Stegostoma tigrinum: one gene and its partner. Each later gene encodes a partner of the first gene's protein in a complex. Links are inferred from orthologs where the notes say so. Each region holds a gene or a part of one and is shown in the gene's direction. Other genes may lie near its edges.

Evidence for each region. The genes of interacting proteins can lie anywhere in the genome.
Region 2: the proteins of wdr59 (region 1) and sec13 are in contact, whole or in part, in a cryo-EM structure (PDB 7UHY), measured with the Homo sapiens proteins. The link is inferred for Stegostoma tigrinum from reciprocal best matches to the Homo sapiens genes WDR59 and SEC13. Residues at the interface, in NP_085058.3 of Homo sapiens: Ala525, Tyr526, Gly527, Asp531, Ala532, Asn533, Ile534, Pro535, Phe536, Pro537, Arg538, Thr539, Ser540, Gly541, Ala542, Arg543, Phe544, Cys545, Gly546, Ala547, Tyr549, Val551, Phe553, Thr554, Arg555, Met557, Ala644, Gly645, Lys646, Val647; in NP_899195.1 of Homo sapiens: Val4, Ile5, Asn6, Thr7, Val8, Asp9, Thr10, His12, Asp14, Met15, Ile16, His17, Asp18, Ala19, Gln20, Met21, Asp22, Tyr23, Tyr24, Gly25, Leu28, Val42, Pro59, Trp61, Gln62, His67, Pro68, Tyr79, Ser105, Asn107.

What each region holds. Positions count from the first base shown.
Region 1 is NC_081369.1:11,740,228-11,747,992, reverse strand, and holds the start of wdr59 (GATOR complex protein WDR59), read left to right. Parts: upstream 1-4,751; 5' UTR 4,752-4,807; coding exon 4,808-4,861; intron 4,862-7,765. Other genes in the region: mixed lineage kinase domain-like protein, read right to left, coding at 3,470-3,518. UniProt on the Homo sapiens protein: As a component of the GATOR2 complex, functions as an activator of the amino acid-sensing branch of the mTORC1 signaling pathway. The GATOR2 complex indirectly activates mTORC1 through the inhibition of the GATOR1 subcomplex.
Region 2 is NC_081364.1:60,402,322-60,409,353, forward strand, and holds the start of sec13 (protein SEC13 homolog), read left to right. Parts: upstream 1-4,025; 5' UTR 4,026-4,048; coding exon 4,049-4,198; intron 4,199-7,032. Other genes in the region: cullin-associated NEDD8-dissociated protein 1-like, read right to left, coding at 1,039-1,106. UniProt on the Homo sapiens protein: Functions as a component of the nuclear pore complex (NPC) and the COPII coat. At the endoplasmic reticulum, SEC13 is involved in the biogenesis of COPII-coated vesicles.

The sequences.
Region 1 (7,765 bases):
GTTAATTCGATCACTTTGTATTTAAAAGGCAGCATGGAACATTGTTATAATACTAGTTGATCGTGTACTGGAAATGTCAGATCCCAGAATGAGTCAGCTCCCAGAATGATACTTGATTTGAAAGACCATAAATTTTACTTCTCCTTTTATTTGCCGTGGAGATTAGTCATCGAGGCATACAGCATGGAAACTTACACGTCAGTCCAACTTGTCAACGCTAACCATGTCCCCAATCTAAAATAGTCCCACTTGCCTATGTTTGGCTGATAATCCCTTGAAACTTGCCTGTTCACGTACTTATCTAAATGTCTTTTAAATATTATAACTCTACCTGCATCCACTATTTCCTCTGGCCATTCCACACACAAACCACTCTCCATGTAAAAATGCTGCTCCTCATGTCTTTTTTTAAACTTTCTCCTCTCACCTTAAAAATATGCCTCTGAGTTTTGAATTACTCCACCCTCAGGAAATGACCCTTGCTATTCACCTTACCTATGCCTCTCACGATTTTATAAACCTCTATAACATCACCCATCAACCTCCTGCACTCACATGGAAAAAGTCCCAACCTAGCCAGCCCTTTATTTTTTATCAGTGAAACCCTTCATTTCTGGCAACATCCTGGTAAATCTTTCCTAAACACCCTCTGATTGCCTAATATCTTTCCTATAGGAGGATGACCAGGACTGTAAATTGTACACCAGAAGAGGCCTTACCCACATCCTGTACAACCTCAACATGATGTCCCAACTCCTATACTCAAAGGTCTGAGCAGTGAAGGCAAGCATGCTAAATGCTTTCTTAGCTACCCTGTCTACCCGTGATGCAAATTTCAAAGAATGATATACCTGCACTCCTAGGTCTCTCTGTTCTGCAACACTACTCCGGGCCCTACCATTAATTGTATAAGTCCTTTCCTTGTTGTTTTACCAAAATGTAACACCTCACGTTTATCCAAATTAAACTCCATCTTCCACTCCTCATCCCAAGACTCAATTGATCAAGATCTCTTTGTAATCTTTAATAACTTTCTTCACTGTCCACAATACCATCAATTTTGGTGCCATTCGCAAACTTACTAACTATGCTTCCCGTATTCTTATCCAAATTGCTTATATAAATGATGAACAAACCAGCTATTAGGGGTAGCACAGTGGTTCAGTGGTTAGCACTGCTGCCTCACAGCATCAGGGTCCCAGGTTCAATTCTAACCTCAGGCAACTGTCTGTGTGACGTTTGCACATTCTCCCCATATTAGTCTGGGTTTCCTCCCACAGTCCAAAGATGTGCAGGCTAGATGGACTGGCCATGCTAAATTGCCCATAGTGTTCAGGGGTGTTTATTTAGGAGGGTGGGTTGAATGGGATGCTCTGAGAGTCAGTGTGGGCTTGTTGGGCTGAAGGGACTGAATTATAAGTGTTAACTCACAGGGACTTGGGAAAAAAAACCTGACAGTGTTTCCTTATTCCAACCATCGGCCACATCCAGCTTTCCTGCTCCTCTGATGCTGCTTGGCCTGCTGTGTTCATCCAGCTCTGCACCTCGTTATCTCAGATTCTCCAGCATTTGCAGTTCCTACTATCTAGGAATAGGGTACTGAGTTGGATGATCAGCATAATCATAGTGATTGGTGGAGCAGGCTCAAAGGATCAAATGGCCCACTCCTATTCCTGTATTCTATGTTTCCATGCAAACGTTTCATTATTCACCGGGTATCTGATGAAGGCGTTTAACTCAAACCACATGATTTGCTTGAACTGATGTGTTTCGTTCACTGGTCCAAATGACTTAGTGACTTCTTTTAAAATAAGTAACTTAACAGAACTGAAAACACAAATCTATTTTATCATAAGTGACCATACAAAAATGGTCAGTTTCAGAGTAAAGTGATAAGATATACTATCACACACTGCTTTCGAAAGTTTCAGAAAGCTTTTATCTTTAGACAGTGAGTATTTGAGCCAGAATTTGTCTGTCAATGGAAAACATGTAACTGGAAATATTAATCTGAAGATGTCAGATGAATCCTTACTGCCTTCCTTCAACTCACATGAGAAGGTTCAAAGTTAATCAGATTCTCAAAATGTTGCTTATTTTCATCTTAAGTTTACTTGATGAAATTACGTCCACATGGCAGCATTTATACCTTTGCGGTACACCACTGAATAACTTTGTCAAAACCTCGTCTCAGTCAGCAAAGCCAGACACAATTAATTGTCATAAAATTAAACAATAAAAAAGATAAAGTTGCCATAGTCACAGCAGATCATACGGTTACTTTCTCACAAGAGAGAGATGATTGGTGATGGTTTAACCTGATTCTCACCATGCCTAAATATTGTCTAAACCTTGTCTGTTTTAAGCAGAACAATCGCATCCCCACCCTTGTCTGCCTTCCGGAGGGACCAATCTCTCCGTGACTCCCTTGTCCGCTCCACACTGCCCTCCAACCCCACCACACCCGGCACTTTCCGTGCAACCGCAGGAAATGCTACACTTGCCGCCACACCTCCTCCCTCACCCCCATCCCAGGCACCAAGAAGACATTCCACATCAAGCAGATGTTCACCTGCACATCCGCCAATGTGGTGTATTGTATCCCCTGTACCCGGTGTGGCTTCCACTACATTGGAGAAACCAAGCAGAGGGTTGGGGACCGCTTTGCAGAACACCTCCGCTCGGTTCGCATTAAACAACTGCACCTCCCAGTGGCGAACCACTTTAACTCTACCTCCCATTCCTTAGTTGACATGTTCATCCTGGGCCTCCTGCAGTTCCATAATGATGCCACCCGTAGGTTGCAGGAACAGCAACTCATATTCCGCTTGGGAACCCTGCAGCCCAATGGTATCAATGTGGATTTCACAAGCTTCAAAATCTCCCCTCCTTGCACTGCATCCCAAAACCAGCCCAGCTCGTCCCCGCCTCCCTAACCTGTCCTTTCTCTCATCTATCCCTTCCTCTCACCTCAAGCCACACCTCCATTTCCTACCTACTAGCCTCATTCCGCCCCTTTGACCTGTCTGTCCTCCCCGGACTGACCTATCTCCTCCCTACCTCCCCACCTATACTCTCCTCTCCACCTATCTTATCCTCTATCCATCTTCGGTCCGCCTCCCCCCTCCCTATTTTTTTCGGAATCCTCTCCCCATCCCCTTTTTCTAATGAAGGGTCTAGGCCCGAAACATCAGCTTTTGTGCTCCTAAGATGCTGCTTGGCCTGCTGTGTTCATCCAGCTCCACACCTTATTATCTCAGATTCTCCAGCATCTGCAGTTCCCATTATCTCTGAGAACAATCATCTCGCTGGTTTACCACAAAACTGAGGTTGATCATCCCTGCACTTACACTGTTCCTTCCTGATTTTGTCAGGTGTCCATTAAGCTAATTGAGATTTTTGACCTGGATACAATGCACCATTCCAATAATGATAAAACATTTCTCGTCATTTAATTTAAACTTATTACTTGTTAGGTGCTGTAATGGCAATCCTCTTCGAGCTTTGTCTTTGGACATTCTTTCCTCTCTTTATAATTGTCACTGCTCCACTCACTCCTGCTTCTATTCACCTGAGCCTCATTCTCGTCTGTCCTTTTTTGATGCTTGCGACATTGTGCTGAGCAGCCAAAGCAGCCCTGTTTCTTGCAGAGTATTTCTGGTCTCTTTCTTTGTTTGGTGATTAGGATTGTATTTGTTTGGGTCCAAAAGATTACAGAATTGAAAGAGGTCTTTCAGCCCATCATGTCCATGGTGGCTTTTGAAGCCAAAATTCATCTGCCAATCCTCTGTCTTGCATGTTATTTTTCAGACATAATCAAATTCCATCTTGAGTAACTTAATTGAATCTTTCTCCACCACAATCTAAGGTAATGCTTTCCAAATCGTAATCACGCGAAAAACTTTCCTCATGTTGCCATTTCTTCTTTTGTCAAATACCTAAAATCTCTTTCGTTGTTGAATATCTAAATAATACATTCCCTCTCGATTTTCTCTTCAAGGAGTCCCAACTTCCCCAATCTGACACCAGAACAAGAACTCTTACAAACAAGATCTGAAGTAGAAGCCTGATGTGCAGAGATTTGTCCATTGTTTGCCCTGCCCTCACCTACGAATTGATAAATTCTGCTGACGTTGGAACAGTCTACTATTACAGCAATGTGATTTTTTGGAAATAAACTGGTAGATACTGGCAGAAACAAAATAACTCGGTTAACAGGTCACAATTGTTCATCCAGCTCCACACTTTTGTAATCTACAATTGTTTTTGAGTCTTGTCGAATCTTGTTGAACAGTAGGAATGGAGAACAGGTAACAGTCAAGCAAAACACCCAAACACATACCACCACTGCGAACATCTCAGCACAGTGGCGCTCAAGGCGAGCATTCTCAATTTACCACGTCTGTTGCGGATGTTGTCAGCCGATACTGTCATATCGGTGCACAACAGGGATAATGATTATTATGTAAATAGCTGGGCATGCTTAAAGTTTGCAATGCTAATAATATAGCTTTGTTTCCTTTGTCTGTATTGCATTTAACACCTCAGAGGAAAAAATGGAGGTGAAAATATTCAGACTGGGTAGAGGATAAATGTTTAATTGAAGAGTAAGATCTTCAGACACTGTCAACGATTCATCATTGCCACCAGTACGAGATGAATCCACAGAACACACAGCACTGACACACCGCTCTCTGCTTCCGGGAAGGACCAGGCCCGGGCGGCGGGGCACGCAGGTCTGCGTCGGACGTCCTGTGCAACGTGATGACGTAGTTTGTTGTTGTTGGTGCCCTGCTCCGTTCCTGACATGGCGGCTCGCTGGAGCAGTGAGAATGTGGTGGTGGAGGTCAGGGACTCGCAGGTAACAACTTTGACCGGCAGCCGCGCCGCTGCCCGGGGCTCGGGGACCGATTTTGGCTCGCGCTGTCGTCGACTGGTTGCCGGAGTCTGAGGATTTGTCTTTGGCGGGGGCCTAAGCAACGTGAGCGCGCCTGCGCAGGACCAACGCGCATCCTCCCCTGACTATAATCCTCTTACCTTAAAATAGAAACAGAAGGTGTTGGAGAAACTTCGCAGGCTTGGCACCATGTGTGGAGAGAGAGAGAGAGAGAGAAACAATTCATGTTTCGTGTCAAAATGACTCTCTGGCCTTCTCTCATCGCCACTTAATTTCAAACTGTTCAAATAGTGCCTAGTGCACTTCTACTTTAGTTAAGATCTGAAACCTGGCTATTGAAGCTATTCTTGTTCGCGGTCCATTGATTAAAAATATCTGTAAATGTATTCAGACAGGTTTTGACACGAGGCTGGTTTCGTTAGAGAGAAGAAGGTTGAGAGGTGACTTAATTGAAACATATAAAATAATCAGAGGGTTAGCTAGGGTGGATAGGGAGAGCCTTCTTCCTAGGATGGTGACGGCGAGCACGAGGGGGCATAGCTTTAAATTGAGGGGTGAAAGATATAGGACAGATGTCAGAGCTAGTTTCTTTACTCAGAGAGTAATAAGGGAATGGAACGCTTTGCCTGCAACGGTAGTAGATTTGTCAACTTTAGGTACATTTAAGTCATCATTGGACAAGCATATGGACGTACATGGAATAGTATAGGTTAGATGGGCTTGAGATCGGTATGACAGGTCGGCACAACGTCGAAGGCCGAAGGGCCTGTACTGTGCTGTAATGCTCTATGTTCTATCTCTGGAGCCTGTGGGAATTAACTCAGGTCTTTTGGCCCATAGTTACGACACTACTACTCCGCCACAGGAGCTCTTACTAACCCCATTAAGTACTGAAGGACTTGTTCCGTTGCTGACTTGTTCCAGTAGGCAACCTCTTGTGCTCATGTTTCCAACATTGTTTGGAAGATAAGGAGGATTGATCTGTGACTTCGTTGTGCATACTGTTTGAGAAAATGTTATGGAGTGTGCAAGCTGTTTCAGTAAGGGGCCAGATAAGGGAGGACGCAGAAAATTTAAAAAAAAGGTTAATAGGCTGAGAGCACAGAATGGTTATAGCACCAAAAGAGACCACTTTTGTGCCCATGCCAGCTGCAAGAGCAACTGATCCAGTCCCACTCCCTTGCCTTTTCACTGTAGCCCTGTATTTTTTTTCTTGGGGGAAATGTACAGTTCCCTTTGAAAGCCATGATGGAATCTGCTTCCAGTGCATTCCAGATCCTAACCACTCGCTGCATAAAGTGGTTTTCTTTCAATGCACTTTGGTTTTTCAGAAATTAAAAGTGATGATGAGTCAGAGAGCAATGAGAAAAAAGGAATGTAATGACACTATATGATTTTAAAATTCTCCATCAACTCCTGTCTCAAACTTCTCTTCCTAAAGGTGAAAGAACACAACTTCTCCATCTATCCACAAATCTGAACTTGAACCCTGGAAATATATTTGTACACCATCTGGAATACCATAATGTCCTTTCTAAAGGGTTACAGTTAAGAAACAATGGAGATGTCCTTACCAGACTAGACATATTCTGTAGGCCACCAACTTGTGGAAAAGATAGAAAGGAGCAGATTTACAAGGGAGTCAGAGAGATATAAGAATTAGACAGTTGTTATGATGAGGGGCTTGAATTATCTAAATACAAGTTAGCATAAGAGTGTAAAAGGAAGTGAGGGGCAAGAGTCTTAAATGTTCAGGAATGTTTTGATGAGACTTATGGCTCTGGTCCGTGGAGGAAAGAAGCACTGTTCGGCCTCGTAGTTCTTGGAAATAAAGTAAGCCAAATGGATCAAGTTGGGGAATATTTTGAGGGCAGTGATCATTGTATCATAAGATTTAGGGTGGCTATGGAGAAGAACAAGGAAGAAACCAGAGTAAGAATCGATAACCAGAGGAAAAACAATTTTCATGGATTTAGAATGGAGCAAAGGTATGCGGACAATCCTGTTACTGAATCAGGGGCTCCCTTTAAAGAAAAGCGAACACCAACAAGGTAGATTCTTATGAAGGGGAAAAGTTAAAACAAACAAATCTAAAGCGCCCAGATGAAGGATTAAGAGGAAAAAGAAGTGTGGTCTTGATAAGTGTCAGGTGGTTAAAGAATTAACAATTAGGCTGAAATTAGAAAGTTTAGAGGAGAAATCCAGAAGCAAATCAAAAGTAATCTAAAAGACACAAAGATAGAAGTTGCTGGAAAAGCTCAGCAGGTCTGGCAGCATCTGTGAAGAATGCTGCCAGACTTTTGCTAAACTTTTCCAGCAATTTCTGTTTTTGTTCCTGATTTACAGCATCCACAGTTCTTTCGGTAATCCAAAAGACCTCTAGGCCTATTTATAGATAGAAGTTTGGTGAAATGAGTGATTAGTTGATTAGGATTTAGAGGGCACTGATTTAATGTAATTAGCAAAAGCAGCAATGGCAAAACAAGGAAAATCTTTTTAATGTGGTTAGGATCTGGAATTCTTCCCAGAAAGTGTAATGGGGTCAGGTTTGATCAAGGCATTCAAGAGGAAAACAGAATACTATCAGCAAAGGAGGTACATGCAGCACTATGGAAAGATGGCTGGGAAGTGGGACAATCTGTATTCTCCCATCAAACAGCCAGCGCAGAGGGCCAAATGGTCTTATTCAATCACCATTTTGATTATGGTCATTGGAGAAACAGGTATTCTCCTTTTGAGAAGATAAGGTTGGAGAGTTTCGGCTATGAAGAGAGGTTAGATAAACTGGATAAATTGTTTTCTGCTGGATTTATGGGGAAATACCTCATTGGGGTCAAAAAATTATTAGGGGCATAGATAAGAAGAAAC
Region 2 (7,032 bases), on another chromosome or scaffold:
CAAATACCATCCCTGCCCTCCCCCCACAACAGCATAAACACTGCCCCCTTCACACTTCATGTCAGCTCTGAAAAATCACCTAGACGCAAAACATTAGCTCGTTCTCTCTCTCTTTCCATGGATACTGCCTGACTGCTGTGATCTGCAGCATTTGTTGGTTTCAGTAGATTCCAGCATCCACAGTAATTTACTCCTAACTGAAAAAAAACTCGAGATCAAAGAGTTAAGTCATCAGCTTGACACCATTCTTGCCTTCAAGTCAAATGTTGTGGGTTCCCATCCTGTTCCTTTAACTTGTATGCATACTCCAAGCTGACACACAACTGCATTGCTAAACATATGCTGTAACAACCAGAGTGATGCCTATTGGATGTGACTGAATTGGGATCTTGCTGCCCAGTCTGAATGTGAGGGGACTGTCAGCTGGAATTGGGATCTTGCTGCCCCAGTCTGAATGTGAGGGGACTGTCAGCTGGAATTGGGATCTTGCTGCCCCAGTGTAGGGGAATGGGGTGGGGGGGGAAGAGACTGTCAGCTGTGATTGGGGTCGTGCTGCCCCAGTGTAGGGGAATGGGGTGGGGGGGGGGGGGGGAGAGAGAGACTGTCAGCTGTGATTGGGGTCGTGCTGCCCCAGTGTAGGGGAATGGGGTGGGGGGGGGCAGACTGTCAGCTGGGATTGGGGTCGAGCTGCCCCAGTGTAGGGGAATGGGGTGGGGGGGGGGGCAGACTGTCAGCTGGGATTGGGGTCGTGCTGCCCCAGTGTAGGGGAATGGGGTGGGGGGGGGGGAAGAGACTGTCAGCTGTGATTGGGGTCGTGCTGCCCCAGTGTAAGGGAATGGGGTGGGGGGGGGGGGGGGGAAGAGACTGTCAGCTGTGATTGGGGTCGTGCTGCCCCAGTGTAGGGGAATGGGGTGGGGGAGGGGCAGACTGTCAGCTGGGATTGGGGTCGTGCTGCCCCAGTGTAAGGGAATGGGGTGGATCTTGCTGCCCCAGTATAACAGAGTGTTTAAAGGAGGAGGGGGAGGGGACGGGGCCTACCTGAAGTCCTTGTCGCTGGAGGTCATTTTCTCCAGCAAGTTGGAGATGTGATAGGACACATTGGCCATGGCGGGCAGTGCGTGAGCTGCAGGCACCGAGCTTTTTTTCCCCCCCCCTCAGTGCGTCCCTCTCTGAAACAACAACAAGAAACTGCTGCTGACGCCCCCTCGAGGACCGTCCATGGGAAAAGATGGCGCCGGCAGCCGCCCCGCCCCTAAACCGGGTCACAGGTCACGGGCACAAACCATCTCCGCCAGCCCCTGGGGGGGGAGGGCGAGACAGGGAAGCAGAGGGGAACGTAATGACGTTTCTCCCTCCCCCTCGGTCTGTCGAGTGGTATCTACCAGAGAATCCCTCTGTGAGGGGGAGACTCAGGGAGGTGGAGGTCTACTGGGAATGATCACTGAGGGATCATATTAACACTTCAGGAGCAGGCAGGGAGAGATCTACTGGGACTGATCACTGAGGGTTCATATTAACACTTCAGGAGCAGGCAGGGAGAGATCTACTGGGACTGATCACTGAGGGATCATATTAACACTTCAGGAGCAGGCAGGGAGAGATCTACTGGGACTGATCACTGAGGGTTCATATTAACACTTCAGGAGCAGGCAGGGAGAGATCTACTGGGACTGATCACTGAGGGTTCATATTAACACTTCAGGAGCAGGCAGGGAGAGATCTACTGGGACTGATCACTGAGGGTTCATATTAACACTACAGGCACAGACAGGAAGAGAATCTACTGGGACTGATCACTGAGGGATCATATTAACACTTCAGGAGCAGGCAGGGAGAGATCTACTGGGACTGATCACTGAGGGATCATATTAACACTACAGGCATAGACAGGAAGAGAATCTACTGGGACTGATCACTGAGGGATCATACCCATCCATCAGGCACAGGCAGAGGGAGAGATCTACTGGCAATGATGACTTGAGGATCATATCCCAGCAGACATGGAGGGAAAAGAAGTACTGGGACTGATCATTGATAAATAATATCAACCAAAAAGAGACACAGACAGAGCTAGAGATCTACACACAATGATCACTGAGAGATCATATTAGCCCAGCAGAGACAGATCTACTGGGACTGATCACTCAGGGATCATATTAACTCAGATTAGACACAGACAGAGTTAGGGATCTGCTGGGAATGATCATTGAGGGATAATATTAACCCAGAAGACACTAGTTGAGGGAGAGATGTACTGGGAGCGATCACTAAGAGATCATATTAATCTAACAGACATTGGCCGAGGGAGAGCTCCACTGGGGTTGATCACTGGGTTTTACCCAGCAGAGGCAGATCTACTGGGACCGATCATTGAGAGATCATATTGACCCAGCAGAGACAGATCTATTGGGACTGATCACTGAGGGGATCACATTAACACATAAGGCAGAGGGAGAAATCCACTGGGAATGATCACTGAGAGCTCATATTAACTCAGCAAATACAGACAAAGAGATCAATTGGGGATTATCAGTGAGGGATCATATTAACCCAGAATAGACACAGGCAGGGTCAGAGATCTAGTGGGAATGTTCACTGAGAGCTCATATTAACCCAGCAGAGATGCAGACAGAGGGAGGGATCAACTGGCAATGATGACTGGGAGATCATATTATCTTAGCAGACATGGAGGGGGAGATGTACTGGGAATGATCATTGATAACTCATATCAACCGAGAACAGACAGAGCTGGAGATCTACACACAATGATTGCTGAGAGATCATAATAGCCCAGCAAATTTGGAGGGATGGTATACTGGAAATGATCACTGAGGGATCACATTAAACCAATGAATGCAGATAAAGAAAGAGATCTACTGGGAATGATAACCGAGAGATCATATTAACCCAGCAGATTCAGACAAAGCAATCCGCTGTCAATGAGCCCTGAGAGATCATAGTAACCTGAAAACCCAGACAATGGAAGAGCTCTATTAGGAATAATCAATGAGAAATAATATTAAGCCAGCAGCTACAGAAATCTTGGGGCAGCACAATGGCTTGGTAGGTGGTTAGCACTGCTGCCTCACAGCACCAGGGACTCAGGTTCAATCCCAGCATTCGGTGACAGTGTGGTTTGCAAATTCTCCCCATGTCTATGTGAGTTTCCATCAGGTGCTCCAGTTTCCTTTCAGTGCAAAGATGTACAGTTTATGTTGATCAGCCATGCTAAATACAAGGTCATGGGGATGGGTCAGGGTCCTGTGTTTGGGTGGGATGTTCTTCTGAGGATTGGTGTACATTCAATGGGCTGGACAGCCTTTTTGTGCATCATAGGGATTGTATGATTCTTCTATGATTGTAAATCTACTGGGAAATCCCACTGACATCATATTAATGCAGCAGACAAAGACAGACATATACTGGGAAAGATCACTGAGGGATCATATGAATCCAGCACACACTGTCAGAGAGAGATGTCTGTTGAGAATGATTATTGAGGTCAGTCCAGTGCTACTCATATTTCTTGTCATTGTGTTAATATCTCTCATTTATCATGCCCAGTTGTTCACTCTGTCTGTCTGTGTCTCTGCTGGATCGTATATGGTCTCTCAGTGGTCATTCCCACTAGATGTCTGCCTCTGTGTGTTTCTCTGCTGCTTTCATATGATCTCTCAGTTAGTGATGCTCAGAGTACTATTGATGCTCAAGATGCCAGTGATACTCAGGGTGCTAGTGATACGCAGGGTGCTATTGATGCTCAGGTTGCTAGTGATGCTCAGGGTGCTGGTGATACGCAGGGTTTTATTGATATTCAGTATGGTATTGATGCCTAGGGTGGTATTGATGCTCAGGGCACTATTGATACTCAGGGCACTATTGATGCTCAGGGCGATATTGATACTCAGGACACTATTGTTGCTCAGGGTGATACTGATGCTTGGGGCACTATTGCTGTTCAGGGCGACATTGATACTCAGGGCACTAGTGCTGCTCAGGGCGATACTGATGCTGAGGGCGCTGTGAACTGTGTCAGTGCAGCGGCTCCATGCGGAACCTTTGTTTGCGATTGGCGGCGGGAGTCGGTCGGTTTGTGGAGCGGGACAGGTTCCGGGCTGCCACGTCTGTGAGGAGCGGAAGCGGGTTGTGGGCCCGGCGTCGAGACTGCGAGCGGAGCGGCCTGCCCGGCGGAGCCATGGTGAGTTCTCCTCGCCCCGGGGGGCTCGGCCGGAGAGGCTCAGGCCTGTGTGGGGTGGGGGGAGACGGTGAGGGAGGGAACCTGAGGAGGGTGTCTCCCCACCCCAGCTCGGATTGTGTCTCCCCACCCCAGCTCGGATTGTGTCAGGAGTGAAGGGGACTCCAATCAGGCCCAGTCCTTATACTTTATTGCAGAAATACTCCACGTTCATTAAAAATGACTCCACGTACGGTTATGAAAGGATTTCTGCGCAGCCTTGCACGCGAATAACAAACACTGGAATTTGGCATTGCCCGTAGTCACAAAATCAAAACCCCAAACCACTTCTTACTTGTACAGGTTTACATTCACATACGTTTTAGACACCGAGAGGGTCTAGTAACTGAATGGACCTTCCACCCCCACCCCACCATGGACTTTGGTAAAAATACTTTAAACGGTGGCCTTTCCCCGTTGTGGCTTGGAGCATATCATCTCTGATGAAGGGTCTAGGCCCGAAACGTCAGCTTTTGTGCTCCTGGGATGCTGCTTGGCCTGCTGTGTTCATCCAGCCTCACATTTTATTATCTTGGAATCTCCAGCATCTGCAGTTCCCATTATCTCTGTTTTTTTGTAATTGCCTTCCCTATTCTGTACAACTCAGGTCGGGAGTCACCCATTCCTCTCTAACTTAGTCCCGAACATATCTTTCCCCTCCCAGAGACAGTGGGAACTGCAGATGCTGGAAAATCTGAGACGACAAGGTGTGGAGCTGGGTGAACACAGCAGGCCAAGCAACATCAGAGGAGCAGGACAGCTGACGTTTCAGGGCTGGACCCTTTTTGAGAAAATGACCACCATATGGGGGTGGCTCAGTGATTAGCACTACAGCCTCACAGCGCCAGGGACCTGGGTTCGATTCCGGCCTCGGGCAACTGTCTGTGTGGAGTTTGCACATTTTCCCTGTGTCTGTATGGGTTTCCTCTGGGTGCTCTGGTTTCCTCCCACAGTCCAAAGATGTGCAGGCTAGGTAGATTGGCCGTGCTAAATTGTCTGTAGTGTTCAGGGGTGTGTGGGTTATAGGGGGATGGATCTGGGTGGGATGCTCCAAGGGTTGATGTGGACTTGTTGGGCTGAAGCGTCAATTTCCACACTGGAGGAATTCTATGATCTATGATTTAATGATCTGCAATCTCTGAACTTTGGACCCTCATTGATTTCAGAAGAAGGGTCCAGACCCAAAACATCAGCTTTCCTGCTCCTCTGATGCTGCCTGGCCTGCTGTGTTTGTCCATCTCTATACCTTGTTCCCTCTCCCAGTCTCAGCTCGAACATCTTATTCACAGTAATTCTCTGAGCGCGCTCTGCCTTAGTCAGCTTCGTTGACTATTCCTGCTTGTGATCCTTCCCATTTCAGACAGATCTTGAATATAGAGATAACAAGGTGTAGAGCTGGATGAACACAGCAGGCCAAGCAACGTCAGAGGAGCAGGAAGGTGGATGTTTTGGGTCTAGACCTTCCTTCAGAAAATGTTTCAGGAATCGTAGGGAGAAACACTTCTTAAGGGTCTCAATGTTCTGAATGTAGACATTGTCACGGTTGGGGCCAAATGTGGGAAGGCTTGAATGTGGGCTGTAGTCCATTGGGATGATCTGGTTCCGAAGGCAGGAGCTAAGAATAGAAGCGTGGGGCTGGGTGAACACAGCAGGCCACGCAGCATCTTAGGAGCACAAAAGCTGACGTTTCGGGCCTAGACCCTTCATCAGAAAAACATGCTCATGAACCCCAACCACAGAAACTATTGGCAACAGGAGTCTCCAGTGGATCATCTCTGGGATGACTGGGATCAGTAATAATTTAGGATGGCTCTAAGCCCCTCCTCTCGGTCTGTCCTGAGCAAGGGTCACTTGAAGCGTCTTTGGAGAGCCTTGGATTCACAACAGGCTGCACTAACAACTGCTGTTTGCCATTCATTGATACCTCCAGCCAGAGGTGATAGGCTGGTGTTGACTCCACTACCTTTGGAGAAAAAAAGGCAAACAAATTTCTTTCATTTCCTTGGGACATTGCAATGTTTTGTTGTCTCTGGAAGTCCTATATGGTAAGTTTCAAATGGCTGGCGTTCAGTTCGGGTTCATGACTTGAGCACAGAATCTAGGCTGTGACAATAATAAAGCAGTGCCACACACTTGGAGCTACCATCTTTCTGAAGATATGTCAAATCAAGACCTCATCTGCACAGTCAAGGGGGCTCAAAAAGAATGGTACAAGCAGCTTCATCAATTTCTAGAATGATACAGCACATGAGATTGTTTGGCCCGTCATGCCTGTGTCAGCGTGTTTTCTGAAGGGAATTTAGAATACATGAAAAGAATTAATTACAGTGGGGAGCAGTACGAATCGGATTTGGTGAATTGTCTCCGTGTGCTGTGAGATTCTACATTGTTAATAACTTTGCACTGAGGGAATAAGTCTGTTGACAAATTTATTTAATTGTGGTTTCTAGATTCGGGGCTTCAAAAAAGTATTTGAGCATGTGTGTTAGAGTCTAATCCTTCACCAACTAGGACAGATTCAAGACCAAACAATGAGAGATGTTATAAATTTTCTGTGTATGGTGTATAAAGTCTCCATATTGAAGTGCATTATTGAGGAAATGGTAGGTTGGGTTGGGTTGAGTGCAGTTTGCAAACAGGTGACAATGCAAAATATGGCAGCAGTTGCAGTTATTCAGAGAAGCCACAGGATCGCAGCCATGTGAACAAGTCAAACTGGTGAATGGGAAGCATTTTATGAGGTTACGCCTGGAATATTTAACATGAATTACTGGATACTGGAAATATATGGGTGTACC